Linked DNA regions of Saccharomyces cerevisiae S288C. Changing the gene in region 1 together with any one later gene gives a genetic interaction. Each region holds a gene or a part of one and is shown on either strand. Other genes may lie near its edges. The genes, in order: SFM1 and MLH2.

The links.
Region 2: mutations in SFM1 (region 1) and MLH2 together harm fitness more than expected from each alone (negative genetic interaction), as found in Saccharomyces cerevisiae (one large-scale study listed by BioGRID).

The regions. Positions count from the first base shown.
Region 1 is NC_001147.6:361,468-378,441, forward strand, and holds SFM1 (protein-arginine N-methyltransferase SFM1), read right to left. Parts: upstream 11,973-16,974; coding exon 11,331-11,972; downstream 1-11,330. Other genes in the region: PET127 (Pet127p), read left to right, coding at 1-2,347; ROD1 (Rod1p), read left to right, coding at 2,902-5,415; YOR019W (uncharacterized protein), read left to right, coding at 6,660-8,852; HSP10 (Hsp10p), read right to left, coding at 9,057-9,377; MCO10 (Mco10p), read left to right, coding at 10,218-10,490; DDL1 (putative carboxylic ester hydrolase), read right to left, coding at 12,243-14,390; AHC1 (Ahc1p), read right to left, coding at 14,545-16,245; NAD-dependent histone deacetylase HST3, read left to right, coding at 16,752-16,974. UniProt on the Saccharomyces cerevisiae protein: S-adenosyl-L-methionine-dependent protein-arginine N-methyltransferase that monomethylates ribosomal protein S3 (RPS3) at 'Arg-146'.
Region 2 is NC_001144.5:211,869-223,213, forward strand, and holds MLH2 (mismatch repair protein MLH2), read right to left. Parts: upstream 2,589-11,345; coding exon 501-2,588; downstream 1-500. Other genes in the region: putative divalent metal ion transporter SMF3, read right to left, coding at 1-65; YLR035C-A (gag-pol fusion protein), read right to left, coding at 3,572-7,039; YLR036C (uncharacterized protein), read right to left, coding at 9,653-10,264; seripauperin PAU23, read right to left, coding at 10,817-11,191.

The DNA.
Region 1 (16,974 bases):
AATAGGTAGCGCCGCTAAAAGCTATCAACAGCGATCGATTTATCACTTTGGCGCTGCTCTCACAAATGCCCCTAGTGGAAGAGAAACACCAGACAAGCTACGTTCTGACCTGCATAGTGCTTTAGAGATGGTCGATGAAATATATGACACAAATTCGACTGTAGAGGACATTGGAAACAAGGAAAAGGGAGGTCGACAAAAATATACGGAAGAAATGGACAAGGCGATTAATCTACTGAAAACAAATATAAAGAAGGAGTATAGACATGATAAGTATTTGGAGCGGACAAAGGTAGGAACGTATCCTGGTAGAAGAACATATCCTGGTAGGAGAACATATCCCGCTAGGAGAACATATCCCGCTAGCAGAACATATTCAGATAGCAATTCATACACTTTTCGGATAAATGTCCAGAAGATTAGGCACGCATTAGTACGTTACAATCAAGATGGTGTTCAAAAACACAACCAAAAGCCTCCTAGGATTGGTCATGGATTAACGAGAGTGTTATACCAACCGTTGTCGCTACAAAAATTGAGAGATAATAGGAGCAGAATGTATAATTTTGACCCTGCAGTGGAAAATATTAATCCAGAGTATTTGGAAAAGAAAAGTGAAAAAGATGTGAACACAGACTCCTCTGGAGAAGGACAAAGCAAGCCAATATTCATCACACCCCACAAAGATGAATCTCTGTTAAAGGTTGCCAAAGAACATAGAAAAAAGTACATATCTTCATCAAGTTCCATGACATCAGTACTTTCTCAGTTGCACTATTTATTATCCAATTTCAGAAGATTGAATATCATTGATTCCTCGATATCGAAAAATTTTCCTCAAAAAAACTGCAATTATTCAGAAAGTGCATATTTTCCGTCAGCAGTCATTCTGAGAAAGAAGAGAAATGGCATTTGTTCTATTGATTCAGATAGAAGTCTGGATAGGGAGATTGTGCTTTCTGTACTAGGTCATTATCTTGAAGACTTTTTAACGGAAAAGTCCCTGAAGAATAGTTCAAAAAGTGAAAATTATCACTATTCTAGTATAGATGAATTCATTGTGAGATCTCAATTGGACGCGTACGACCCAAATCTACCTGGAACGGGTGTATTTGATCTGAAGACAAGAGCAGTTTCTGCCATAAGATACGATTTATCACATGTAGAGAGTAATAACAACCAAACTGGATATGAGATAGATAAAGTTTATGGGGAATTTGAGTCTTTGGAAAGAGAATATTTTGAACTAATCAGGTCTGCCCTTCTAAAGTATTCTTTGCAAGCTAGAATTGGCAAAATGGACGGTATTTTCGTTGCATACCACAATATTTCTAAGATGTTTGGATTCCAATATCTACCTTTGGACGAATTAGATTATATAATCCATTCTTCGTATAACAGCAAATTCGACAGTTTGTTAAAGGAGAAGAATGATATCACAAAAGGGATATATGGTGAGGAGGACTACATTCTACACTATGACAGGGACGATAGGAAAATTGCTTGCTTGGTGGCTAATAGGGAATTTAAGATGTCTATGAATCTGTTCAGTAATATTTTGAAACACGTTGAGCAGTTACTTAACTCAAGTAATACGAAATGGGAAAAATGCAAAATAATGCTTAAAACCGAAGTTGAAGAAAAACGATCCAAAAGTGGCCGCTTCTTTAACGAACCGGTGCTAAATATTGTAGCCCTGCCGTTGTCACCTGAGTACGAGGATAAATCTTTATTGGTAAAGGATACTTCGAACGAACAATTAACAGAGGAGCTACTAAACCTCCGCTCATATAACGAAAATCTTTTGGAGGAACACCTGAATTCCTTAGTTGGATTTAAAGTAAATGTCAAGCATTTCTATCACCATCATCCTAATACTACACATCTACCTGATTTTGCTTTAAAAAAGAACGATATTCTCGACACCGAATCCCGTAAATATATTTCTGACATGATGAAACGAGACTGGTACAAAGATATACCATCTACACAGACTCCAAACTTTTTCCACGCTTCCGATGTTTCCACTTGGGAGGTGAACTCTACTTTTACAGATATCAATGACAAACAAATTTTACGAAAACTATACTTTAAATATTTGGATGTTAAATTAAACGCATTGAAAAATCAAGTAATCACACGTCAGGAACCTGATATGTCTAAAAAGGATGAAATTATGAATCGAATCAAATCACTACAAGCCCGCAATGATCACCGCGATAATGGAAGTAACAAAAGATATTCTAATTTTGGCCCTACCCGACTGCAAACTAAACTGCGCGCATATGCTAAAAAAGGTGCCCTTCGAAGAAAACTATTAGAAAGGAGTAACAAGTTCCATATCTAGAAGACAGTAGTCAGCGTTGGGCAATCTAATGTTATAGGTGAAGTTTTACTACTTTAATGTATTCACTCACAACTTTCGACCTTATGTAATTATTCTATGTATTTTTAGATATGTCCATACAATGCATTATTCTTGTAATTATAACACATATTAATTAAACAATGGGTCAAAAAGAGTCGAGTCCCTTGGTACATATTATGTTACATTACTGATTAAGTTGAATAAAAGCATCTAACTTTAAGGAATCTGCTTTATTTTGAAGACCGAAAACTACGAGTAAAAATAGGAGTTTTAATGCGGATGAATGTCTAACCCCAGAGATGGGTTCTCCGATAAAAACTGAGAAGCTTCCTGTTCACAGTTTTTATAAATTATTTTGTATGGCTGGGCTCTTGCAATTTTCAGCGTTTTTTTATTAAGCGAAAAAAACAGAACAGGGGTCCCCTATTCAAATATAGACGTCAAAAAGATGCAGATCTAAAACTAATTAACAACCATACAGAAATCAACGCGATTTCATCACACCATTCGCTTCTCTTCCTCCATAAGTAATAATGTTTTCATCATCATCTCGACCTTCAAAAGAGCCATTACTATTTGACATCAGACTTAGAAATTTGGACAATGATGTTTTACTGATAAAAGGCCCCCCTGATGAGGCATCTTCTGTCCTACTATCTGGAACTATAGTATTGTCAATTACTGAGCCAATTCAAATCAAGTCTTTGGCTTTGAGACTTTTTGGTAGGTTGAGACTAAATATTCCAACGGTTTTACAAACTGTTCATGGGCCGCATAAGCGATACTCAAAGTTTGAGAGAAACATATATTCTCATTTTTGGGATGATTTTAATATAAAAAGTTATTTCCAAAACTTGTACGATAATCATAATAATGGTAAAATAACAATTTCTAGTAAATCCTCAACAAATTTAGCAGCATTGCCAAAGAGAAAAAGAGCCCTTTCTACTGCATCATTGATATCAAGTAATGGGCAGACAAGCGCAAGCAAAAACTATCACACCTTAGTAAAAGGTAACTACGAATTCCCTTTCAGCGCGATTATTCCTGGGTCATTAGTGGAAAGTGTAGAAGGCCTACCAAATGCTGCCGTCACTTATGCTCTGGAAGCTACTATCGAGAGACCTAAGCAGCCCGACTTGATCTGTAAAAAACATCTAAGAGTTATTCGAACGTTAGCTATAGATGCAGTCGAGTTATCTGAAACAGTATCAGTGGATAACTCATGGCCTGAAAAAGTCGATTATACGATCTCCATTCCAACTAAGGCAATTGCCATTGGCTCTTCCACCATGATCAATATTTTAATTGTTCCTATATTAAAAGGATTGAAGTTAGGCCCTGTTAGGATCAGTTTGGTGGAAAATTCCCAGTATTGTGGTAGCTATGGAGGGGTTATCAACCAAGAAAGAATGGTGGCTAAATTAAAACTAAAAGATCCCCTGAAGCACGTTGCCCAAATAAAGAAGAAGAGGAGCCTAAATGAAGCTGCCGACGAAGGGGTTGATACGGACACAGGGGAATTTCAAGATAAATGGGAAGTTCGAGCTTTATTAAACATACCTGCAAGCCTGACTAAATGCTCCCAAGACTGTCGCATTTTATCTAATATCAAAGTCCGTCATAAGATCAAGTTCACTATAAGTTTACTCAATCCGGACGGTCATATTTCAGAATTGCGTGCGGCACTGCCTGTCCAATTATTCATTTCACCGTTTGTTCCAGTCAATGTAAAGACCTCCGATGTTATTGAAAGAACGCTCAAAACGTTTGGACCCTCATATCAAGTAACAAGTCAGCACGATAATTCATTCAGCAGCAAAAACTTTGTAGACGATAGTGAAGAAGATGTGATTTTTCAAAGATCTGCTTCTGCGTTACAATTGTCTTCAATGCCAACCATAGTATCTGGCTCTACTTTAAATATCAATAGTACTGATGCAGAGGCTACCGCAGTCGCTGACACAACTATGGTAACTAGTTTGATGGTACCTCCCAACTACGGCAATCACGTTTACGATCGAGTGTATGGCGAGGTAACTAATGAAGACGAAACTTCAGCATCAGCTTCTTCAAGTGCCGTCGAATCACAGGCAATTCACAATATTCAAAACCTATATATATCGGATAGTAACAATAGCAATAATCCTATTTTGGCACCAAATCCTCAAATCAAGATTGAAGATGATAGCCTAAATAATTGTGACTCTCGAGGGGACAGCGTTAACAATAGTAACCTGAATCTGGTTAATAGTAATCTAACAATTAGTGAAAATTGGAACAATAACTCTCCTTCTGCAAATAGATATAATAACATCATTAATGCTGGATTGAATAGTCCTTCACTGACACCAAGCTTTGCACATTTATCTAGGCGTAACTCATATAGTCGCCAAACATCTTCTACATCGCTGAAGAACGATTTGGAACTGACAGATTTAAGCAGAGTTCCCTCGTATGATAAAGCAATGAAATCTGATATGATTGGTGAGGATCTTCCACCGGCTTATCCCGAGGAAGAACTTGGAGTTCAAGAAAATAAAAAAATTGAACTAGAAAGGCCACAAATTCTTCATCACAAGTCTACATCCTCTTTGTTGCCACTTCCAGGCTCGAGCAAGAGTTCCAATAATCTGAAAAGATCGTCTAGTAGGACACATTTATCCCACTCTCCATTACCAAGGAATAATAGCGGATCCTCAGTATCATTGCAGCAGTTGGCGAGAAACAACACAGATAGTTCATTTAATCTAAATCTCTCTTTCACTTCAGCAAAAAGCAGCACAGGAAGCAGACATTTTCCGTTTAATATGACAACATCTTTCACTAGTAATTCAAGTTCCAAGAACAATTCACATTTTGATAAAACTGATTCTACATCTGACGCTAATAAGCCAAGAGAAGAGGAAAACTATACGAGCGCAACCCACAATCGAAGGTCACGCTCATCGTCAGTTCGGAGCAACAATAGCAACTCACCATTAAGACAAGGAACAGGTTCATTTGCTAATTTAATGGAGATGTTCACAAAACGGGATCGCTCATAGACTGCTTTATTTTTTGTCTTCGAAATTTCGACAAAAAGATATGAGCAATACTTCATACACGTTTGTACAGTTAAGCATATATACTTTGATAGAGTACTTTCATACCTCATACCACTTGAAAAATGATAATATAATGTTATAATACTACCTCATAATTGCTATAAAGTAAAACAATTCGGCGTTGTAGTTTATGCTTCTATAATCACAAAAAAATTTCACTGAAGTTGTCAGATTCTGCCGCAAGGCTTCTCATAGATTTTGTTAAGTGGTCTTACTCGGTTTTATGGCTTGAAGGTTAACATAATTATGAAAACTTATTGATATCCTCCCCACCCCTAACGTTTTAAAAATGATCTCGTCCAATATGTTTGAGGTGAATAATATCGGACCAGTTCTTGTTTTTAAAAGATAAGAATTGCTCATATTTCCCATACTTGTTGGAAAATTTCTCTCAACAATTGTATGAAGGCAAAATCCCTCAATTGAAACATTAAAATAGTGATTAGAAAAACAGGATTAATCAGTTATACGAACGTATTTTTGAGAGAATATAATGAGAATACAATGAGCTTCAGAAGATCTGTTTTTCTTTACTTGGCACTTCTTCCTCAACAATTATTGGCACTACAAAATTTTCTAATTAAATGTTAAAGATCCCACAGACATCATTCGTATATATCCTCCCATTTTATACGGTTAGCCAACTTTGCGATCCTACGGAAATTGCTATTTTTATAGTCAACTCATTGATCTCGAGCACAGCTGCTCTTTTCTCTCAATGAATTACGTTATATGTTAATCACACAAGCATCAGTTTTTCATCGCAAAAGAAAATATTTAGAGTTCTTGCAATTCAGATGTACCTCAATTAATAACTCAATCACCTCCTATGTTCTTGCTGGTAGTACTGCTTTTGTCTTAATTACTGCTGAATCAGCCTTCTAGAAGACCGTTCTGTTTCAGCCGCTCGCCCCTTTTCAAAGCTTGCGCGGCTGAGTTTTATGAGGGGCGGCTTTTTTGTGAATGGCAATCTACCATTATTAGTAGCAATATGATTTGCAGATAGATACATATATATCCTTCTGGGTTCATGTCTCGTTACCATCCACACTAATGCATAGGACCAGAAAGAAAGGACATCGAATCCAACACGTATTAAAATAAGGACTCCTCATTAAAAAGGCTTTTAATATTCAACTTGCTATAGATCACGCACCCTTTTGGCAAGTCAACCTTAAATTATTATGATTTCTGTTTGCCCACAAAATGACTTGCAAAAATGCTACAGAAGCCTCACATTCGATGTTCCAGGACAACAATTCGAAGAGAGAAATGAACAAAACCTTAAAAAACGGGCCAAAAAGAAAGGCAGTTTCCAACCATCTGTTGCCTTTGACACAGTGCCTTCCACCGCTGGTTATTCTTCTATAGACGACAGCAGGGAAGGATTCAAAGGTGTACCTGTTCCCAACTATTACACGATGGAAGAGTGCTATGACGATGAAACAGACTCTTTTTCGCCAAATTTGCAATATTATTTGAGAGATACATTCCAATCATCACCTTTTCTGAATACTAGAAAAGAGAACAAATCTGAATCCAGTAGTTTTCCAATGAGATCCTCAAAGTTGTTGGAAAAGAATTCTGACATCAAAAAATATTTCTTGGTATCCAAGAATGGAAAAATAGTGAGGAGAGACTATCCAAGCACGCCAGTAATTGTCAACGAAACGTTGATGATAAACAGGTTTGAAAAGAACTGGATAAAGTTATGGCGCCAAAGAAAACTACAAATAAATGAAAGGCTGAATGACAAAAAAAAATGGTTTACTTACCCAGAACTTATCTTCTCTGAAGAGCGTATTAAACCGTTATATAGAGGAGATGATAGTGCACCATGTACAAAAGAACAAAAAAGAAAGCATAAAATACTTCAACAAAAGGTCGGATATCCCAATAACCCTAAGACAATAGTTTGTCACATTAACGGAAAAAAACATACGTGGGTTGCCCTAGACTGGACAGTCTACAAGTTTGCACGAAATCTTGATCACATTGTTGTCATAACTACACTGCCAAAAATGATTTCTAACAGGAAAAAAACTGCAAAAGATGATACAGAATGGGCACCGGGATATCAAAAAGAAGTAATAGATCAAAAATTAAACGACATTTTTGATTATATTTTACAGCTAGTAAAAGTGGTCAAAATATCCGTCAAAATTACTTTAGAAATAATTGTAGGCAAAATTAAAAAAAGTCTGGTAGATGTCATTAATGTCCATACTCCAGATTTCTTAGTTCTTGCTACTTTAAAGCACGAGCGAAATGAGAATCTTATTACATATAAATCCAAAAAGCTGACAGATGTCTTTCCTGTTAGTTATCCGATTCCCACATTTGTTGTTCCCTCGAAACGAATGTATTCGTTCGAACTGAATCTACAAAGAGAAGTAAATGAACATTATGTCTCAAAAAATCATATGAAGCACGAACACACTGACGTTGAGAGCATGAGCAGTTCAATGTTCAAAAAAAATACAATATCAGATATTTCTTCACATATTTCCGTAGATTCGTACGCCGAAGATTTCAAAAGGCAAGGCTACATCAAAAAGCAGTTCAACACCTCTAATGATTCCATTCCAAGAAAATTGACCGGTCTCGCCCAGCATTCAAGAAGGAAGATCACGGGTGATATAGAAAAATTACAAGACGATGAGAAAGATAGAGAATGTACTAAGGAAAAACTTTTGTTGAAGAAAATTGATATCATAATTAGAGAGTCATTGAAGTCTTCTTTAGCGATAGAGACGTTGCCTGGTAAAAATGTATCGCAGTCCAGTCACGGTGACCAAATTTCCAGCTTTAAGAATGCTTTGATAGGCAATGGGTCGAAAAACACAAAGTTTAGAAAATCTTTAATACCATATTCTTCCTCAGAGGAACAAAATACCACAACAACTATTAAACTCAGTAGCTCGCCTACGTCCCAAATCAAGTTTGCAACCTCTGTAAAACACAAAGATGGAAGAGCCGCCCTTGGCAAAGCCAGAAATCTGCCTGATATAAGGCACAGTATTTCCTTCGACAAAGAAAATTCCTTTGATCCATCTGATAAAAGCAGTAGTGTTGATAATAGCATTCCTTTGAGGAAAGTTAAAAGTGCCGGTGCGTTAAGAAAAGTCAAAACTAATGACTCCTCAAGTAGTGCAGGGTCAAAGAAAAGCTCGTCTAGTTTTAGTACTGTGAACACCTTCACTGGGGGTGGAGTTGGGATTTTTAAGGTGTTTAAAAGTGGAAGTTCCTCTGGAAATAAATCATCCAGTAGAAGGAATAGTAGCAGTGGCGATGTTTTTGAAAGTGATGATCGTAACGACAAGAAAAAGAAGAAGAAAAAAAAGAAGAAATCATTGTTCTTATTCGGCAAAATATGAGCGGATAGTTTGTACACATAGTGTCCCTAAAATTCCTATTGATGAATAGATCAATTTTATTAGCAGACAATTGGGGGCAGCAACTGAATAGCAGAAGAAATTTGAGTTCAATTATTTTTTTTTCCTGTCATACATAATGGCCTATTTACAGGTACATACATATAGAGTATGTATATAAAATCTCTGTTGAAGAAGACATCATTCTTAGTCCTTGGCAATCTTAGCCAGGATTTCAGCGTCCCTGAAAAGAATAACTTCATCGTCGTTACCCAATTTAATGGTAGAACCACCAAACTGTGGAATCAAAACTTGGTCACCAACTTTAACTTGAGGAACAACCTTATTACCATTAGCATCAGTAAAGCCCGGGCCTACGGCAACAACTTCAGCTTGGTTTAACTTCTCCACGTTCTTTTCAGGTAAATACAACCCGGATGCTGTCTTTGCTTGTGCCTTGATTCTTTGGACAAGGACACGGTCCATCAATGGAACGATAGATTTAGCAGACTTCAAAAGGGTGGACATTCTTTTTTTTCTGTAGATTCAATATATTTTCGATCAATGGCTTCTATCAGAAATTATTTTAAACCTAGCACATAATAAGTTTGTACTGTATAAGCGTTTTGACTAATTTTATACATAATCAAGCTTCTTTTTCCCATTCCTTCAAGATTCTAGAAATTTCTATCATTGATGACGGGCATTACCCCGTTAATGACCTTCACACGAATGAGAATTGGGCGGCTAATGAGAGAACTTCGAGAGGTGCAATAAGTGAGAAATAACAACTTTAGAACTCATTATGATTGCTTCCAATACCTAATCCTACGTATGTACTAAATTAAAAAGACAGACATGCATTATTGAATATTGACATTTTGAGAGTAACTTTTTATTATGAGTGGCATAATAAGATAATCGACGCAAGCCACAATTTATACAATAAAAAATGCTACCATCGCTGCTACATATGAACGAAAATAATACAACTATCGTTACGGCCTTTGCTGAACCGTAATAAAATAAAATTCCTTGTTACATTTTTTTAGCCAGCTGCCTCAGAAAGAGGCGTTTACTATTTAATGGAGAAAGAAAGCAAAGAAAAATAAAAGGTATTTTCTTTACGGAAAGCCTTCGAGCAATCCAGGAGAAAGTGGACCTTTTTTTCCCAATGAAGAGATCATAGGAGTATGGATTGAAAATATAATAGAACTTCGGGTAACGAGGTGTAATTTCACAGTCCATAATACAGAGCTAACGGTTTAAGGGTAAATAGTTATCTAAGTCAAGTTTTGAAGGAACAAGTAAGAAAGGTCGCTACTGTTTCTAAACATAAGATATACAAAAATAAATATAGCTATCTCAATGGGTGCTGCATACAAAGTATTTGGGAAGACGGTTCAACCTCACGTATTGGCTATATCTACGTTTATCGCTACTGCTGCAGTGGCATCTTACTTTACCACGAAACCAAAAACCAAAAATGAAGGCAAGAATAGTTCTGCCTTGAGCCAACAAAAAAGCGGTGAAAGTTCAAACTCAGATGCTATGGGAAAGGACGATGATGTCGTAAAGAGTATTGAAGGATTTTTAAATGATTTAGAGAAAGATACGAGGCAGGATACGAAAGCCAACTGATTATGTATAAAAATTTCTGAAATGGTGGTGTTCTTCATCGTTCAGTGAAGGGATGCACTGATTTCTATAAACTTGAAGCACTTTTTGAAACTACTGTTCTATAACGAAAATTAGCGTCCTTCTTTCTATTAAGTATGCATTATACATATAATTCAATATATTCTGAATAGCAAAACGGCAATGAAAAAAAAAAAACACTGAAAATACTTGCCTTAGGCCATTGTGCATGATACGAATATGCACAAAACTTGCCTCTTTTTACTTTACGGATCAATGACAACACTCAGGTGTAAGTGATAGTTGATGGCCTTTCAATATTTGAAAGGCTGGAAGATAATTATAAAAAATCGAACTAATTGCCTATGATTGTTTCATTACTGAGACTATTTTTTCACCTCAAGGGGGTCGTCTGAATTAGCAAAGCCATGGCAACTAGTGCAGTGCTTGAAGTCACCAGCTCGTTTGGTTTTAGATGCAAGTAATGTAAAGAAATTAATTTAAATAAAATAATAAAAGTTTCTACTTTTTTTTTCAATTAAAAAGCATAATACAACCAATCAATTTTATCCTATTTGGCCTGACAATGATGATATCATAAAAGTAAACGGTTCCTTGTTTTTATTTTTCTTGCATGCACTTTTCAGAAGTCTTGGTAGCGCTACTAACGCAAAATACGAAATATTCATTGGCTAATAAACTTGATTTTTTCATTGAATGTCGTTTTTGAACTATATACAATATAATTAATGCTACGACCCTAAACTTTTCAACTAACTCTTTGACAAGGAAGCATCATCACTTATTACAACCATAGAATGTTACTTAAAGGACTGTTCTCATCTACATCAACAGATCGTCCAAACTTTGAGCAGAATCCTTCTTGATCAAATCCAACATCCCTTCAGGCAAAATAGGTTTACCTTCTTTATCTAAAACGTATCTAAATGGCATTTCCGTGGCCTCATTTTTATTGAACCTAAATTCAGGGTAGTCAATGAACTTGATGTCTTCAAATGCAATCCTGTCTTTGATAATCAACTGTGTTGTTCTTATGGCAGTATCCGTAGTCATTTGTTTATCACCTAGTCTTCTGCTAATTAAAAGATTCGGATAGGCAGTCTTTAGTTCTTTGGTACGATCTCTTGGAGGATGATCACCCAATATGCCACCAAATACGAAATAGTCGAATTTCGTAGCATCCTCCGGCTGTAAATCGATTGTAGCCCTAGGGTCCAATAGACAGACTCTGCCATCTTTTAACAGTTCCAAATCCTTGAAATCTTCGTTAATGCCCTTCAAATCCTTTGTAGTCCATCTTAAACCAAGTTTTAGTAGCCTTTGAGGGATGTCCTTTTCCGTGGTACTCTCTGGTAACGATGATAAAATCAAGTTTTCAGCTCCTACTTCTCTCAGGATTTGGCTATACTCTAAAATGACCCATTCACTAAACCCTTCCTCCATATGCTCAATAATGTACTTCATCGTATATCTAGAAATAATCTCCACAGCTGTATCAATCTATATTAACAATAGATATGCCCCTCAACATCTAATAAGCAAAGGGCATTGCTCTTTTACAATACTCGATGAGCTTACCGAAAATTTCTAATCCAAAATAACGGAAAAAATTGAAAAGGTGTCAATCCTGTTACCCGCAAGTTGAAGTACGGAAAGAATACAACCTTACACAGTGGAACTATAATAGACAGTAAAGAAAAAAGTTAAAAAAAACTTGTGCCTTGCGTTTACTGATCAACCAGTCTTTCTTTTTACATATATTTCTGATGCATTTTCATGTTTACTTAAAATTTCTTTTAGGATAAACGCTGCAATATCCGGTTCTTCGAAATAAGAAACATGTGATTTTATAGCTGATATAAAATCCACTTCTAGCAGACTTGGAGACATAGCATAATCTAGACGTCCGGTGTAATTCAAACCTGTAAGCATTCTCGTAAGATTTTCTGATAACTTGACCTCTTTTTTTTCTGGAGAAGTTTTTTTGGACTGCAAATTATTTTCATCAGTACCTGGCAAATCTTTCCATATGTTTTCGCCAAATTCCAAAACTTTAGAAGTTAGTCCATAAGCTTCACTACAATGTGGTAAATAAGTTTGTTCGTAATGAGCCATTTCTTTACTAACAAGAGGTTCCATCCTATAAGAAATGGGATCACAGACGTGGTAAACATTATAAATGTCCTTACATTGCGGTCTCTGTACGGTTAATTTTCTCTCCAAGTCATTGGGAAATTCGGGACGGTCACCAATTTTTGTTCTTTGAATTAACTTTAACAATCCAATTGGTGAGCCAATAAAGAACAGGTTGTCTACTTGAAATTCTAATTCATATTTTTTTTGTTTGGATAGAATATCAAATAATATCATACTACCCAACGAATGGCCCACTAAATGGACTTTCCCATCAAACTCTGGATTAAATTCTTTAAAAATCCGATATGTTTTGTTCAATTGAGAGGTTACTTGTTGTAGAATCATATCTTGGTAGTATGGTTCGACATACAACAAAATATCTAGTAGACCGTCAGCCAGTAGCTTCCTCAAGGGTAACACTCCATTTACTGTGACTTGTGACAAAGTCGGTAGGTCAGGATTTTCTATATTTTCCTCCTTAGCATCCGTTTGGAAACTTATCGAGTGCCTCCAGGTGATGGGTAGCACTTGAACGTTACAGTTGCTTTTATAATCAGGTGCTGTGTTTAATGATTGTAGTTTCTCAGAATTATTGTAGATTTTTTTCATATTAGACCTAAGTAGATTTACCGTGTGTGCGAAATTTACGTATTCGTACTTCTTACCCAAAGTCTGACCTATACCGTGAACGCATAGTATCAAGTTATCCACATCTCTTCTGTTACTTCTAATTTGTCTATCGCTTGCGCCCGAATTTTTGCCATCTTCTATTTTGCTACTAGCATTAGCGCCTTGACTGTTATCTGCATTGTTATAGTCTGTTTCCATTTGCTTTTCCAAGCTCTGTGCATCATCTTGATCTTTACTAGCATTACCATTGAACAACTGTAAAAAGTCCGATAAATTGAAGAGGTTTGAAACTTTCTTTTCTAACTTTGTTTCAATGCTCCTCGATTTGGAACTGTTACTACCATCTGCTACTTCCGTTTGAGGCGTTTTTGCTGCCTTAAAAGATGTGGATGTCTGTTTAGTAGTTGCGGAGGATGAATATTTGTATGATCTTGTAATCATTGTAGCATTAATCGGTAAGGATTGAGCCAGATTAGACCTTAGAAAGGCTAATTGCAGTTTTCCTCCATCTAAATCCGATAGTAAAAATGCAGTTTGTTTATTGGCAAACAAAATAAACTTGAAAGTAGATTCGTTCTCATCTTTATTGCTGGATCCATTTTTTTGCTCTCCTTCGTTTTCTTTATCGACTGGGTATTTACCTTTGAGCCTAAATATATCTTGCGATTCTGCAGGAGGTGTCGTGGTCGGATCATCATTACTGTCGTCGAATTTGAGCTGCTTATACAACCCTTCAATTTCGGAGGTAAGATCACTGGACAAAGGTTGATTTGAAGAGTCGAACCACACACCTCTTCGTACTTGATAAGTAGGGCCTTCCCAATAGGTAGGGGACAATTCCATGTGAGAGAGGTCGACTTTAAACAGGTAATCTTCGTTGACTAAAACAGGCCTGCGTTCTTGACGCTTACTGGCCTTTTCCAAACGATTAGAATCATCAACGGAGAACGGCTTAAACTTTTTGGGTGAGTGTAAAGTTTGATATGTGGGTAAATAGGGTTTGGAGTTGGGTACGTCTATGGCATAGAACCATGGTACATAAATGTGATTTAACCTTACGAAAATGTTTCTAAAACGAGTGCTGGAGGGAAGGCCTCGATGAGTAAACCGTAGCATTTCAAGTAATTGTTCACTGTGAGTATATTCAGTGATCTTCAATATTAGGGAATATGCAAAAAAATACAATCCACTTTTTCTTCCAAAGCGACAAATTAGGTCAGAAAACCAACAGAATATTATATTACGTAATTTACTTATTTATATGTGTGTACTATGTATGAGAACCACGCAGTCTTGATTTCGACCTTAGATTGTAATAAGATGATGATTTTGCTGCAGGATCAGGACCCTCAAGTTCATTAGTCAAAAGGGCCGCTTTTCTTGGTTTCTTGTCAGTGGGATTTGCTCTCAACCTTTCTCTTAAAGGTAAATCTTCCATGGGAGTAGAGCTATTCAAGCTCAGTTTTCTCTTACGCAGCAATTTTCTTTGTAAGGAGGAGGATAGCACTGGCGGAGAGGGTGGGTCCGTAGTCGTTGTTGTTGTAGCCGTTGCTGAGAGAGACGGTGATGGGACGTAAGAAGCTTCGTCATCAGATTTGGAAGATTCCTCTTCTTGCTCCTTTTGATATCTTAATTGAATTTCACGTTGCTTCAAATATTCATTCAAATCATCCGGAGTTTCATTAACCATGTCAATCAGTTTTTTGAAGTCTTCTTTATTTTGGTATAGTTTTTCTAAATGAGGAGTGTTCTTGACAGTCTTTGGAGCCCGCGTATGGTTCTCGGAGTGGTTGATTGGTGATTGTGGTTTTGGGATTGCAATGTCAGAGGGTAGGTAGTCTTTGTTTGGGTCCAAATTTAGTTTCTTGAACTTAGATAAAATTTCCGGATCCTGCTTATCATTAGGAAGTAGTTTTTGGTTGTTTAAAACTGCCAATGGTTGGCTTGAATATAGTTTAGAATGTTTTAGTCGAGTATGGTTCACGATACCTTGCGCGGAAGTGAAACCGGAACGGTCACATTTGGAGCACGTAATTATAACCAAAATGCCGTCATATCTTCTAAAAATGGGCTCATTATTTTCAGTCTTACCGATGATACCGCTATTGCTCGTCAAACAAGTGCTACTGTAATTACGTCTGTGGTTAAGATGCATCTGACTTGGTTTAAAAGGGAGTATCTGGAACCCCGGCTGCTCGTCTAAGGGGGAGATTGAGGAGGAACGAGGTGAAGAAATGCCATCCGAATTAGAGTGAGGAAGCGAGACGGGAGTGGGCTTGGTTATGGCTTCTGATAGAGATTTAGAACCTGTTAGCCTGTAATCAATTATATTCGAATTTGCCGGACGGAGGGCAGAAGGTTCTAGCAAAAGCCCGTTACTCTTGCTTCTAGTATGATAATGGTGGTGTGGTATGCGTGTTGTTGACAGATTTCTGTTGCTGCTCGAAGACAAAGGCTGACAGTTGATGTTATAATCCGATAGAACCGGGTATGACAGGTTATAATTTGATGCGTTCGTATTTTCCGTAGCCGTACTGTCGTGAAAGTGGCCGCCGAGCACGCTATGCTGCTGATGTTGTTTTATTTTGAGTTGATACGTCCGTTCGATTTTGTTCAATAGACCAGTATCCTTATGCAGGGTTTCCAAGAGAGCTAGTTTTGCGTTAACCTTTTGAACATTTCTTCGTAAGTGCCTAACATGCTTGTGGTTTAGCATTATATGTAGGTTCAAAACATTCTGTATTTCCCCTTTGGCACATTCGTACTTCAACCGCTGGGTATTTTCGCTATCCTTGTCCGGATTACTGGTGGCGGTGTCCATTTTGAAGGGCTCATCCATGTTGTTTTCCAAATCCTGAGGAGACTTTGGCGTGGTAACCTGATAAACGTTCGTCATCTTAGAGGATGACGATGAGGAAGAATTAGGATTATGATGCTGGTGCTGCAGTTTATCTTGGGCGGGACTCATCATGAGGAGATGGACATATACACAAAGTGTTGGATGAGAAGCGTGAGCCCGAAGAGTAGTGAAATGCCGAAGATCAGGGTGTTTATATGAACGAACACTAGCTTACAAATGTGGAAACGGGATCCTTCAGAGGTAAAATGCGCCTTCAGTGGCCAAAGTTCATCACCTTCCTTAGCACGGGTTCTTGCTGTCTGCTCTTCCTGCTTCTTCCCTGTTCGTTTTTCCCTCTTCCTACGGCTATGCACAGTGGCAAATGCACTGCATGTGTTTCTGTGGCGGGTATCCCTCAATTGCGGGTAACAATAAGTAACTCAACATCACGAACGACGTTTATGTTTGCTGTTACCACAAAGGGTAAAACGTCAATAAAAGCAAGCAATGTTATTCGTGCCAGAGAACTATATCTGGCGTACGTCTTATATATAACACAAGCAAGGGCAAATACGTGGTTAGTGGTGTAAAAACTGAAGGGATTAATTTACATACAACTAGATCCATCTTTCTCAAAAATGACTTCAGTATCGCCCTCGCCACCTGCCAGTCGATCGGGCTCAATGTGCTCCGACTTACCGTCCTCTTTGCAGACTGAGAAACTGGCACATATTATAGGTCTTGATGCCGACGATGAAGTTCTCCGGCGCGTAACCAAGCAGTTGAGCAGATCTAGGAGAATTGCTTGTCTGACTGGGGCAGGCATTTCGTGCAACGCGGGCATTCCTGACTTTCGCTCTT
Region 2 (11,345 bases), on another chromosome or scaffold:
CTGACTAATATCCCTGGCCCAATAAATTTGGCAAATTTTTGAAGAATCTGCATATAAGATCGCATTTTTTTTCTCTTGTGATGCTACTACTGTTATCAATTAGCTTGGAAGAACGATATATTTAAAGGAGTTCAGAAGGAAATAATAGTTTGGGTATGACAACTGAAAAAAAAAATGAACTAATATATAAAGGAACCCCGTATATTTATGTGGAGTGATCTTTGTCTTCTAGCTCCTTTGAAATAAATATTCAATTATGCAACCTCACAGAATCAGATGAATGAGATATATACAGTATAAATACCTTTAGTCGCATGACAACAGGATGTCGTAACAATGCAATATTAGAGCATTTTTAAGTTGACCCAAAACGGAAATTTCAAGGTGCGGAAACTGGAAGAGAGGCAGGGCGGGCAACAGGGTGCGGTTACCATGAGTTACAAACAATGGTCTATTATGAAGTAATCTATTGTGCTGAGTGGTGATAGTGCACCCGATCATCAGGGGCTGTCTGGCGTGAAGAGGCACCATTCATTTGTCGTGGCTTCAATGTGTCCCGGTTTCTTCACATGCGCTCGCAAGGCTTGCAAAAGACTGGAAGAAGGGCTTGTGGCATCGTCCCTCGATCGTAACCACAGAGTTTCTTTGGCAAAGTTATCGCTGTCATGCTTAACAATTTTTTCATTCTTCAGGGTATAGACGTAGTTGTTGGTATACTCGGAAAAATGCATGAGTTTCGGCCTTGTTTTGTGCATGCAGGATGCTTTCTTTATATAATTATCAGTTACTTTTTTTTTCGAATTTCGTGGAATGGTCATGTCCACGGTATTGTTTCTTTTACCGTAGGTTTGCTGAAGCTTTATTAGTTCCTTTTTTTCTGTATTTGAAAGCTGTCTTTCGTTGGGCATTCCCCTTTTATTGGCATCTCCACAGCTAGTACGTTTGGCCTCAAGTAAGTTTTCGCTCAGTTTCTTGTTGACGTTTCTTATTTTTGTGATCATAAAAGGATTAGAAATAGAAGCGTCCTTAGAAAGTTCTAAATCCTCGTTCTCTGGAATAGTTTCTATATAGTTATAAGTTAATGACGAGGGTAATGTTGAGGATCCAGCTCCTGCTACTTCACTATTTTCGCTTAGTTCTTGTTGGAAATTATGTCGCCAATTAGTACTGTCCTCGGAAGCCATAGACCCGGAACTCGAGCTTCTATAACTTGAAATGGTCAGCTGAGTTTGTTCGTCAAGAGCTTTATCCTCGCTAAATTTTGTAGGTGAAGGAGTAGCAGCGACAATGGTCGTATTCTCTAAGTTTGCTTCATCGTAAAAAGTTGGTACTATCAAATCTGAGTTTTTTTGTGGGATGTCAGTCTTGTCTTTACCACTAACAGCACCACAGCCCTTTGATATTTCATTCTCTGCGTCGGGTGTAGGTATCACCAGTGCGGGAGAAGTTTTTTCGTTGATAGAAGGCTGAACATGTTTATCTCCCAGCATATTTGTTTCGATGCCAATTCTCTCCTCCAATAACAACTTTAACTTATTCTCTATCTTCTTAAATATCACTTCAAAACTTTTGATCATCACGTCATTTTTCTCTGGTTCGATATTTACGTCAAGAAGCTTTGTATCGCAATTTAAATTAATAAACCAAACCATAGGATCTAGTAAAGAGAAATCTCTATAGATTGACGATAGTAACTTAGAAATAGTCTTCCCCGTCTCCAAGTTCAAAGATAGCGCTCTCTCATTAACAGATAAAAATTTAAATCGTCTCTTTATATTAATAACGTCAGATTCTGGCACCATCCTCGGTAAGATCAAATCTAAATTTATTTTTTCGTCGATAACAAAGTTTTCTTCTACAATAAAGTTCAGCGGCACAGGCTTTTTTAGTCTAGCTAGTAGGGACAAACTTCTAGCTCTAGAAATCTTAGGGTCTAACGTTTCTTGCATTTGTTTACGCTCTATGGCACCATTTTTTTGTAATGACACCAACGAAAAATAAAACCGAATATTTCTATGAATTAGAGAATAATGGTTTATTAAATAGATTAGTTCATCGAATGTTTTTCTTGGCCTCGAAGAAATTTCGAGATACCTTGCTCGTAACCCTCCCAGAAGTTTCCTTAATATTACTGTAGTCCCCACGGGACAAGATACCTTGTACCTTTTTCCATTGGTAATACCACCCTTACTATCAACTAACCATTTTTCTCCAATGACATCATCTGCAGTTTTTGTTTCAACCTGCATTGAGCCTTTCTGGTTACACAAGTTTGACAAAAGAAACAATGCTTCACCTCTGAATCCAAGAGTAGTCAGAATCGAAATATCTCCGAGACTACTCATCTTTGATGTGGTGTATTCCAAGCACATAGAAGGTCTGTCGATAATATCCACACCTGATCCATCGTCCTTGACTGATATATATTCACATCCTCCCGTAGTGGAATCTACATCGATGAATACTTTTTTAGCACCCGAATCGATGCTATTATCTAATAATTCCCTTACAGCAGCTACCGGACCGTAAATAAAGGAACTAGAAACAATCTTCCATTGGGATTCTGGAGATAACTGATGTATAGTCATCCAAAACTATGAAAAGGCGTCTGTTCCTCAAACCGAGATGATGGGATGTGAAATAACTTTATATGTTTATAAAAGTGATTACTTTTTCTTGTATGGGCGCCAAAAAAGGGCCATGTATATGAGGGATATGGACGACAGTGAGATTATTTAAATAGCAAAGACTACAGTAAAAGCAAAAAAGCATTGTGCCAGGGCAATATAGCGAGCACTACTTAAACCCAAATTAGGTGACAAGTGAAAGGTTTGTTATGCGCAAAACTTATAGATAATGCAGAAGGTAATCTTTTCTGCTGTACTATATGTTCACATTGCAGTGTTACGAATAAATATAAGGATATATAGCTCTGCTTAAGGGGTTTTCTTGGAATCGAGTCGAGTTATTCTAGAAATTGTTAAAAATAAAGGAGAATAAAAGTAAAAAATAAATGGACGCAACCGGAATCGAACCGATGACCTCTTCCTTGCAAGGGAAGCGCGCTACCAACTGCGCCATGTGCCCTAAAACGCGTACAAAGGAGAGGAAATTATTTGACTACTTAGTACTGTTTTCATAGGTAAACCCTCCACTGTGGCTAAGATGAGTGTTATTCTTCAACCTCATAGAAAGCACGCATGTTACTTTCTGAGATATATGTGGGTAATTAGATAATTGTTGGGATTCCATTGTTGATAAAGGCTATAATATTAGGTATACAGAATATACTAGAAGTTCTCCTCGAGGATATAGGAATCCTCAAAATGGAATCTATATTTCTACATACTAATATTACGATTATTCCTCATTCCGTTTTATATGTTTATATTCATTGATCCTATTACATTATCAATCCTTGCGTTTCAGCTTCCTCTAACATCGATGACAGCTTCTCATAACTTATGTCATCATCTTAACACCGTATATGATAATATATTGATAATATAACTATTAGTTGATAGACGATAGTGGATTTTTATTCCAACATACCACCCATAATGTAATAGATCTAATGAATCCATTTGTTTGTTAATAGTTTGAATGTTTTTATCGGAAGAGGTTTGGTCATTACGTCTGCAATATTCTTTTTGGTTTCGATATAGCATACGTGCAGATGATTTCCTGATACTTCATCTCTTAGTCTCATTGCTTTAGTACCAAAAAATCTGTTTCTAAATTTCTCTTCATTATTGGATATAATTATACTGATTGTAGATTTACTGTCGGTTAGTAATCCTTTAGTAATTGGTTTCTTGTTAAGTTCTTGCACAAGGTGACTGAGGTTATTTAATAATGGGACAGATTCACTTATCGCGTGTATTTCTGCTTCCGTAGTTGAAGTACATGTTAATGAAGCCTTGGTGGACTTTCCTCCAATTACTTTTCCATTAAGTAAATATATGTTGCCAATTTGTGATTTATAATACGGTTGGTTACCATACGATGCATCGCTTATAACAACTAATTTATTTGTTGGCTTAACAGGTTTGCTTTTGTGCCATATTAATTGCTTATCTCTCGTATTCCATATGAACTGTATCAATTCATATGTCATATCTAACACTTGCTTGGACGGAAATAGTATATGTTGTGCAAGTGTGTTGATGTAGTATAATAGGTCAAATCTAAATTTATATCCAACATATGATGCTAGACCTATCAGCTTTTGCATTTCATGTACCTTCATTTTGTAATCATCTTCTTCTAGCTCTAGTTCTTGCTGGTCTATATATAGACCTGGTTGACCTGGAGCGCTAAGTTTCCTTCCTTTTGGGTTCAAAGGTACGTTTAGTTTGGGTATTTTTTCAGTTAATGAGTTTTCCATACCTAATTTCATGTATTTACCTCTTTGATATTTGATTTCTAAGCCAAGTATGTCGTACTGAATTTCGTTATCACTTTCACCCAGATTTATTATCTTTGTATCGTATTGTTTCTTGAGTGTTGTTATGATTTTCTTATTTGCATTTAAGTCTTTGCTGAACAATATCATATCATCAACGAATAAGCAAATTGTTACTTGACTATTCTTAAATACGCATGACCATCCACGAACTTCTTCCATACCACACTGTTTTATCAGGTATGATTTGATAGTTTCGTACCAGTTCGCTCCACTTTGTTTCAATCCATAAAGTGATTTCTTCAAACGTATTAACTTATCATTCATTCCTAAATGTGGTGGAGGTCTTATGTATAGTTCTTCTTTGATGTCTGCATACAAATATGCCGAAGATATGTCTAATTGTGTAATATAGTAGTTATTGTCTGATGCAAGTGACAGGGATGTCATTAATGCATAGTGATGTACGGTATTGGATTGCATGCCTGGGTCGTAAGTGTCAGGATGTTGAATATCACCTCTTGCAACAAATCTAGCTTTATGAGTACCGCCACGTTTCCTGTTAAAGATAAACATTGAATTTATTACTCTTTTGGGGTCTATTTCTTTTCTGTCATAATATCTGTCAGTGTCCCAAGTTTTCATCTTCAACAGTTGATTGACTTCTTTGTGGTATGCCTGGATATATTTTTCTTTTTCTTTAATATCTTTATTATAGGTGATTGCCTCATCGTATCGTAAGGTAGTTCGTATTGGTTTGATTGATTTTACTGCTTTTACAGCTGCAATCAGGTGAATTCGTTTCTTCGATCTCGGAGGTTCTAAACTACGCATATTCTTAGTATTCCATGTGTCTCGTGATACCTTAATTTCAGTTTCATTATCTTCTAATGATCTTTTCTTACTGTTGATAGTAGTATAGGCATTAGAGTCACCAATACCACCCAAACTGGAATTAGTTTGATGAGAATTTATCGGTGGGAGTTCTTTAAAGGAGTCTGATAATTCGGTAGGAGGTTCTGGAGGCAGATCGGGGAGTGGAAGATCAGCGATAATAGATTCCTCTGTATTCTCCTTAGGACAGGTATCTGACGTTTTGATAGGAACGACGTGGTGTAGTGAATTACTTTCTGATGAGGAAGTATCGATCGAAGGTGAACGGTGTATGATCCTTTTCTCAGTCTCCTGTTCGCTTGTCTGCGGAACAGTTTTATTATTGGTACCACCCGTACTGGATATTGGTACGTTTGTATGATTAGTCTCATTGTCACTGTACGAGTCTGAGTGTCTGAAATCTTTAGATTTACTGGCGTGCGACGACTCATGTGTGTTAGATTGGGACATGGGAGCAAGTAAAGGAACATCTAATCTATGCATACCACCCGAACCGGTACTCTCGATATCGGAAATTTGGGGGGTGCTAGATCTCTTCTTAGATGGAAGAATATTAGATTCAGATATGTTGGGGTCAACTTCTCTGGGTGCGCGAATATTGGTTTTGGAAACACGTTTCGAATCTTCAGTATGAGTTGACGGAGGTGTGGAATCGGTTGGACTCACAGCTTTTGAAAGGACATTTCTCGGTTGCTCAGGATGTAGTTCGATGTCAGATTGGAAGTCATGGTCAGATTCTATGTTAAGATCATCGGATTGTTGGATCTCATTTGACGCAATGAACGATTGATATGAAGCAGTTAAACGGTTTAAGTCTTCATCGAAAGTGAGTGCGTCGTAATTGAATTGATCTAATCTGGATTCCTTGCCCTGAAGAATAACATAGTTAGTTGTATCTACTGTCTTCTTTAAGGATGGAAGATAGATGATATATCCATAAGAGTTTCGAGACGGATGTAGAGCGTAGCCTGGGATGCCACGAGGATGTATTTTGGAGTTAGGGTTGTGATCATTGACGATAACAGGTTGACCGAAAGGTAACAAAGTACTGATATCAAGTCCTGCCAAGCCAGCATGTTGTCTTGCAGATTTTTTGCTTTTAGGTGAAGCTAGTGAATTTCTCACAATAGTAGAAAATTCGATTGCAGAGAACCATAAATGGTTCGGTAAACCACTACATTGCAGTTGAGTACGGCAGTCATCTAATAAGGTACGGTTGAGCCGTTCAGCGACTCCATGTGCTCGGGAATCCGCTGTGGTTGTATAGCATGGAGTTATACCATTTTTTTCAAGGAATTTATGGAGAGTTCTGTTAGTATACTCAGAACCACGGTCCATTTGTATAACCAAGACACTGGCCTGAAACTGGTTTTTAATAAAAGCTAGTATCGTAGTAAAAACATCGAGGATAGAGTCCTCGCGACGGTCGTGTAATGGATAAACCCAACGGAATTTTGTTGTCTCATCAGTAAATGAGATGAAATAGGATGGTGCACTTTTTGGTAGGTTGTGAACTGGACCAAATATGTCAGTATGTAGGTATTGAAAGGGTTCGTATGAATTTTGGTATTTTAGTCGTGAACCTTTGATATGTCTGTGTTTGGTGCTTTTGCCGATTAAACAATCAGGACATTGATAGTCAATAGCACTAGACCAGTCGACATCTGATTCGTTAAAATACGTGATGGTGTTATTTTTAAGTGAGTATCGAATTGTCTGTGCATTGGCATGCGCAAGCATTCGATGAATGAAAGGATAAGGATATTTGCGTGTACTTTCACTTGTATGGACATTATTGATGGTGGGTACGGAGATATTTGATGGAAGCAAGTACTTTTTAGATACCCAGTAAAAGTCTCCATATTTTACGATAGGTGCAAGTACAGTGCCGTCAGACCGTTCTAAGACGTTTTTGGTAAAGCATGCTGTGATATCTACTGCAGCCAATTCATTCAAACTGAGTAAGTCATAGGCTATGTTAGGAGTGTGCAATACCTTTATTGATGTTTTGGTGTTGTCCTGGAAGTGAAATTGTAGGTCACCAATAGCGTTAATTGGTATATTTCTTTTTTGAGCATCAACTACGTTTATGTCAGGATTAGATGATGCTGAGTGTATGTGATGAGCAGATCTTATAAGGGTTCGTGATGCTCCTGAATCGAGAAGGAGGTGTCCAGGGAGTTCATCATCAGAATGATTAGTATGATTTACTGTAGATTCAGTAAGTTTCTGGCCTAAGATGAAGGTCGTGCTTATTGTTCAATTGAATCGGTTCAGTAGTTGATTTACTGATGGAATCGTTGTCCGTGCTGGGAGAGTTATTAGATGTGGATACATTGTGAGCCCTGGCTGTTTTCGATTTCGAATTATTTGTTTTTTGAGGATTCCGAGCTATAACTTTGGGTTTGGTTGTATTCGTATAGCTGCGAGAATCATTCTTCTCATCACTCGGATTTCTCCTGTAATTAGGTTTGCTGTTTCTCGATCCCTGTTGTTCTTCATAAATAGCATGGATATCTAAGAACAGTTCAGCGACTGTCATATTTAGATGTCGATGACGTGTGTAGCGTAAAAATTTATATTCGCCAGATAGACCTCTCATAATTAATTGGCATGCGACCTTGTTATTGATATGAATGCCATTATTGTTCAGTCTGTCGATAATGTTTGTGACTTTTGTTTCAAATGCATCTGCAGGTGTACTGCCATTATATTGCAAATTTGCCAGGGTCACAATGTCGTTTGCCTCTTGGGTATCAGATTGCATTTTTTCAATACTTTTGGAAAGAATTTTCATGATATCCGTATAATCAACGGATAGGATGTCTTTGACCCAGGTAGGTAGGAATTGAGAGGGAGCAAATATTTGAAAAGTGTTATACAAGAAGGTGAGTTCATCATCAGTGATCTGACGTACGGGTTTTCCGTTTACTGTCGGAATAATACCACCGAGATTCGAGTTTTGTAAAAATTTGATGTATGTTTTAACCCAATTTGGAAAATCATTAGGTGAGGTTAACATTGGTGGTGGTCTGACATATTTTTTAGTGGATGTCATATCAGAGTCCGCTGAGGATGAATCAGTAAATGTATTACCTGACTCAGGTGATGGAGTGCTCAGAGGCGTTCCAACTGATGATGGATACTGCGGAAACTGTGATTGTGGCCCAGGTGGAAAGTACATAGGCGACATTTGATAAGGTGTATACGGAATCATAGATGGGTGTCCGTAAAATGACCAACCAGATGGATTGGCTTGGTTTTGGGTCATCATGCACTGCTGTGGGTACGGCCCATTCTGTGGAGGTGGTACTGAAGCAGGTTGAGGAGAGGCATGATGGGGGTTCTCTGGAACAGCTGATGAAGCAGGTGTTGTTGTCTGTTGAGAGTTAGCCTTAGTGGAAGCCTTATCATATTCTTGAATTTTGGAAGCTGAAACGTCTAACGGATCTTGATTTGTGTGGACTTCCTTAGAAGTAACCGAAGCACAGGCGCTACCATGAGATATATGTGGGTAATTAGATAATTGTTGGGATTCCATTGTTGATAGAGGCTATAATATTAGGTATACAGAATATACTAGAAGTTCTCCTCGAGGATATAGGAATCCTCAAAATGGAATCTATATTTCTACATACTAATATTACGATTATTCCTCATTCCGTTTTATATGTTTATATTCATTGATCCTATTACATTATCAATCCTTGCGTTTCAGCTTCCTCTAACATCGATGACAGCTTCTCATAACTTATGTCATCATCTTAACACCGTATATGATAATATATTGATAATATAACTATTAGTTGATAGACGATAGTGGATTTTTATTCCAACACTTTCATACGTAACGGGGGTAATATTACTAGCTGTTAGAATAAGAGTCAACGATCATAATTGACTAGTAACGCAAATACTACTAAACAGATGATGTTTTAGAGTTTCATTCTAACAAATTGATAATGTAGTAGAATAATGAATGACAAAGTATAAAAGAAAGGAAGACAAAGTGATTTTATTATCAGAACTATCAACTCCCTTTCGTGAATTCCAAGACTGTTGAGGAGAACTTCTAGTATATTTTGTATACCTAATATCAACAACGAAATCCCAACAATTAATACGAAGTTCACCCATTTTCTGATAATTGTTACGTGCAAATAATAGAACTACTTTTGTCGAGGTGTAATCTCGTATTCAAACTATATAGTAAATTATTCTCAATGGTCGAGTAATGCAAGAAGATGATATTGAATACTTTGCGTAACTTTACCAATTATCCAATATGCAACAGTAAAATGATACCTTCACATTTCAAGCTAATTCCAAAATAATACATATTAGGTAAAATCCTCAATTTAATTGCCCGGTTTTACCTTCAGACATCGCTCCCTTTCCATTGACACATCTATACCCTTCAATGAACCCGCTATGTAATATCAACGCATCGTAAAAATAGAATAATAATGCAGTAGTACATATCCAGCCTAGCTGCAATCTAAATAGCTGTGATAGTCGGTGTAAATTAATAGTTTGGTCAGTTTTAAAAAAAAACCTAATTTTGGTACAAAAGTAGAAGCTGAAAGCAGTCATTGATACCAATAACAAATACTTTAGCTGAAACCATTTAGGATACTTTTTTCTGGCAGCACAGCTGGGACATACTACCTTCGAACATCTCTTTGGCTTTGTTTTATTTTCATTTTTAAAATGACCGTTCTTTCGATATAAAAAGAAAACTATAATAACGAGGGAAATTGTTACCGCCCCCAGAATCATATCTATGATCTTAATGATGATTGCTTTTGGGTACTTTTCAATCAAATTATCTACTGATGGCACCATAAAACAATTTATAAAATAAAGGCTACAAACGGCCTTTGTTAATTTTTCTATAATTAATAAGGAATTAGACTTTGGGATCTCATCTTGGCTTTCTGTCGCACTAAGTTCTGCCTCTTTCATTATTTCCTATACTTTGAAGGAGAAAGTAAACTTTAACGGCAAGTTCCTGTCTTAACTACCTTTTAGTTCTCGTGTGTTGTGAAGGGCCTTTGAGGAAAAACTCGAAAGTTTGTTCCGTACTTTTAAACTTTCAATTTTTTACCAAAAAGGCTATTTACCGCTTTATGGGAAGATCATGGCAAGTCAAATCCACGTTAAATGGAACAAGATTAACTTGCCACAGATCAAATGCTGAATTGAAGAGAAGTTTTAAGCATTAAGATTCTTAATATGATCATTAATATATCAGTACGTGTCTCAACTGGAATCGTATAAGGTTCTTGTAAGTACAAATTGTATGCAGAAATTTAAATGCGAGAACAAAACTTGAATCTCCCCCCGCATTTAAAAAATATCTTTTTGAACACAGTGCAACTGATTAAAAGTACCTGTAATACATATATATGTTTGTATACGTATGTATATCTAATTATTTCTTACCGTCAAATCATAATTATTTTTATCCGTTCGTAAAGCAATCCAGTGCTAAATACCAATTGTGAGGCCATCGGCTTAGTTTGGAACAGCAGTGTAGATACCGTCCTTGGATAGAGCGCTGGAGATAGCTGGTCTCAATCTGGTGGAGTACCATGGGACACCAGTGATGACTCTAGTGACTTGATCAGCGGGAATACCAGTCAACATAGTGGTGAAATCACCGTAGTTGAAAACAGCTTCAGCAATTTCAACTGGGTAAGTTTCAGTTGGATGAGCAGCTTGGAACATATAGTATTCAGCCAAATGAGCTCTGATATCTGAGACGTAGACACCTAATTCGACCAGGTTAACTCTTTCGTCAGAGGGAGATAAAGTAGTGGTGGCTGGGGCAGCAGCGACACCAGCAGCAATAGCAGCGACACCAGCAACAATTGAAGTTAGTTTGACCATTTTTTTCGATTGAACTTTTGTAGATCTTTTTAGTGAAGATGTGAGCTCACTCGAATGTAAATAACAATGCCAAATTGTCGGAAAGAGTTAATCAAAGCTGCTCTATTTATATGCCGTTTTTTAATAAGCGACGGACGAACAGATAAATTGTTGA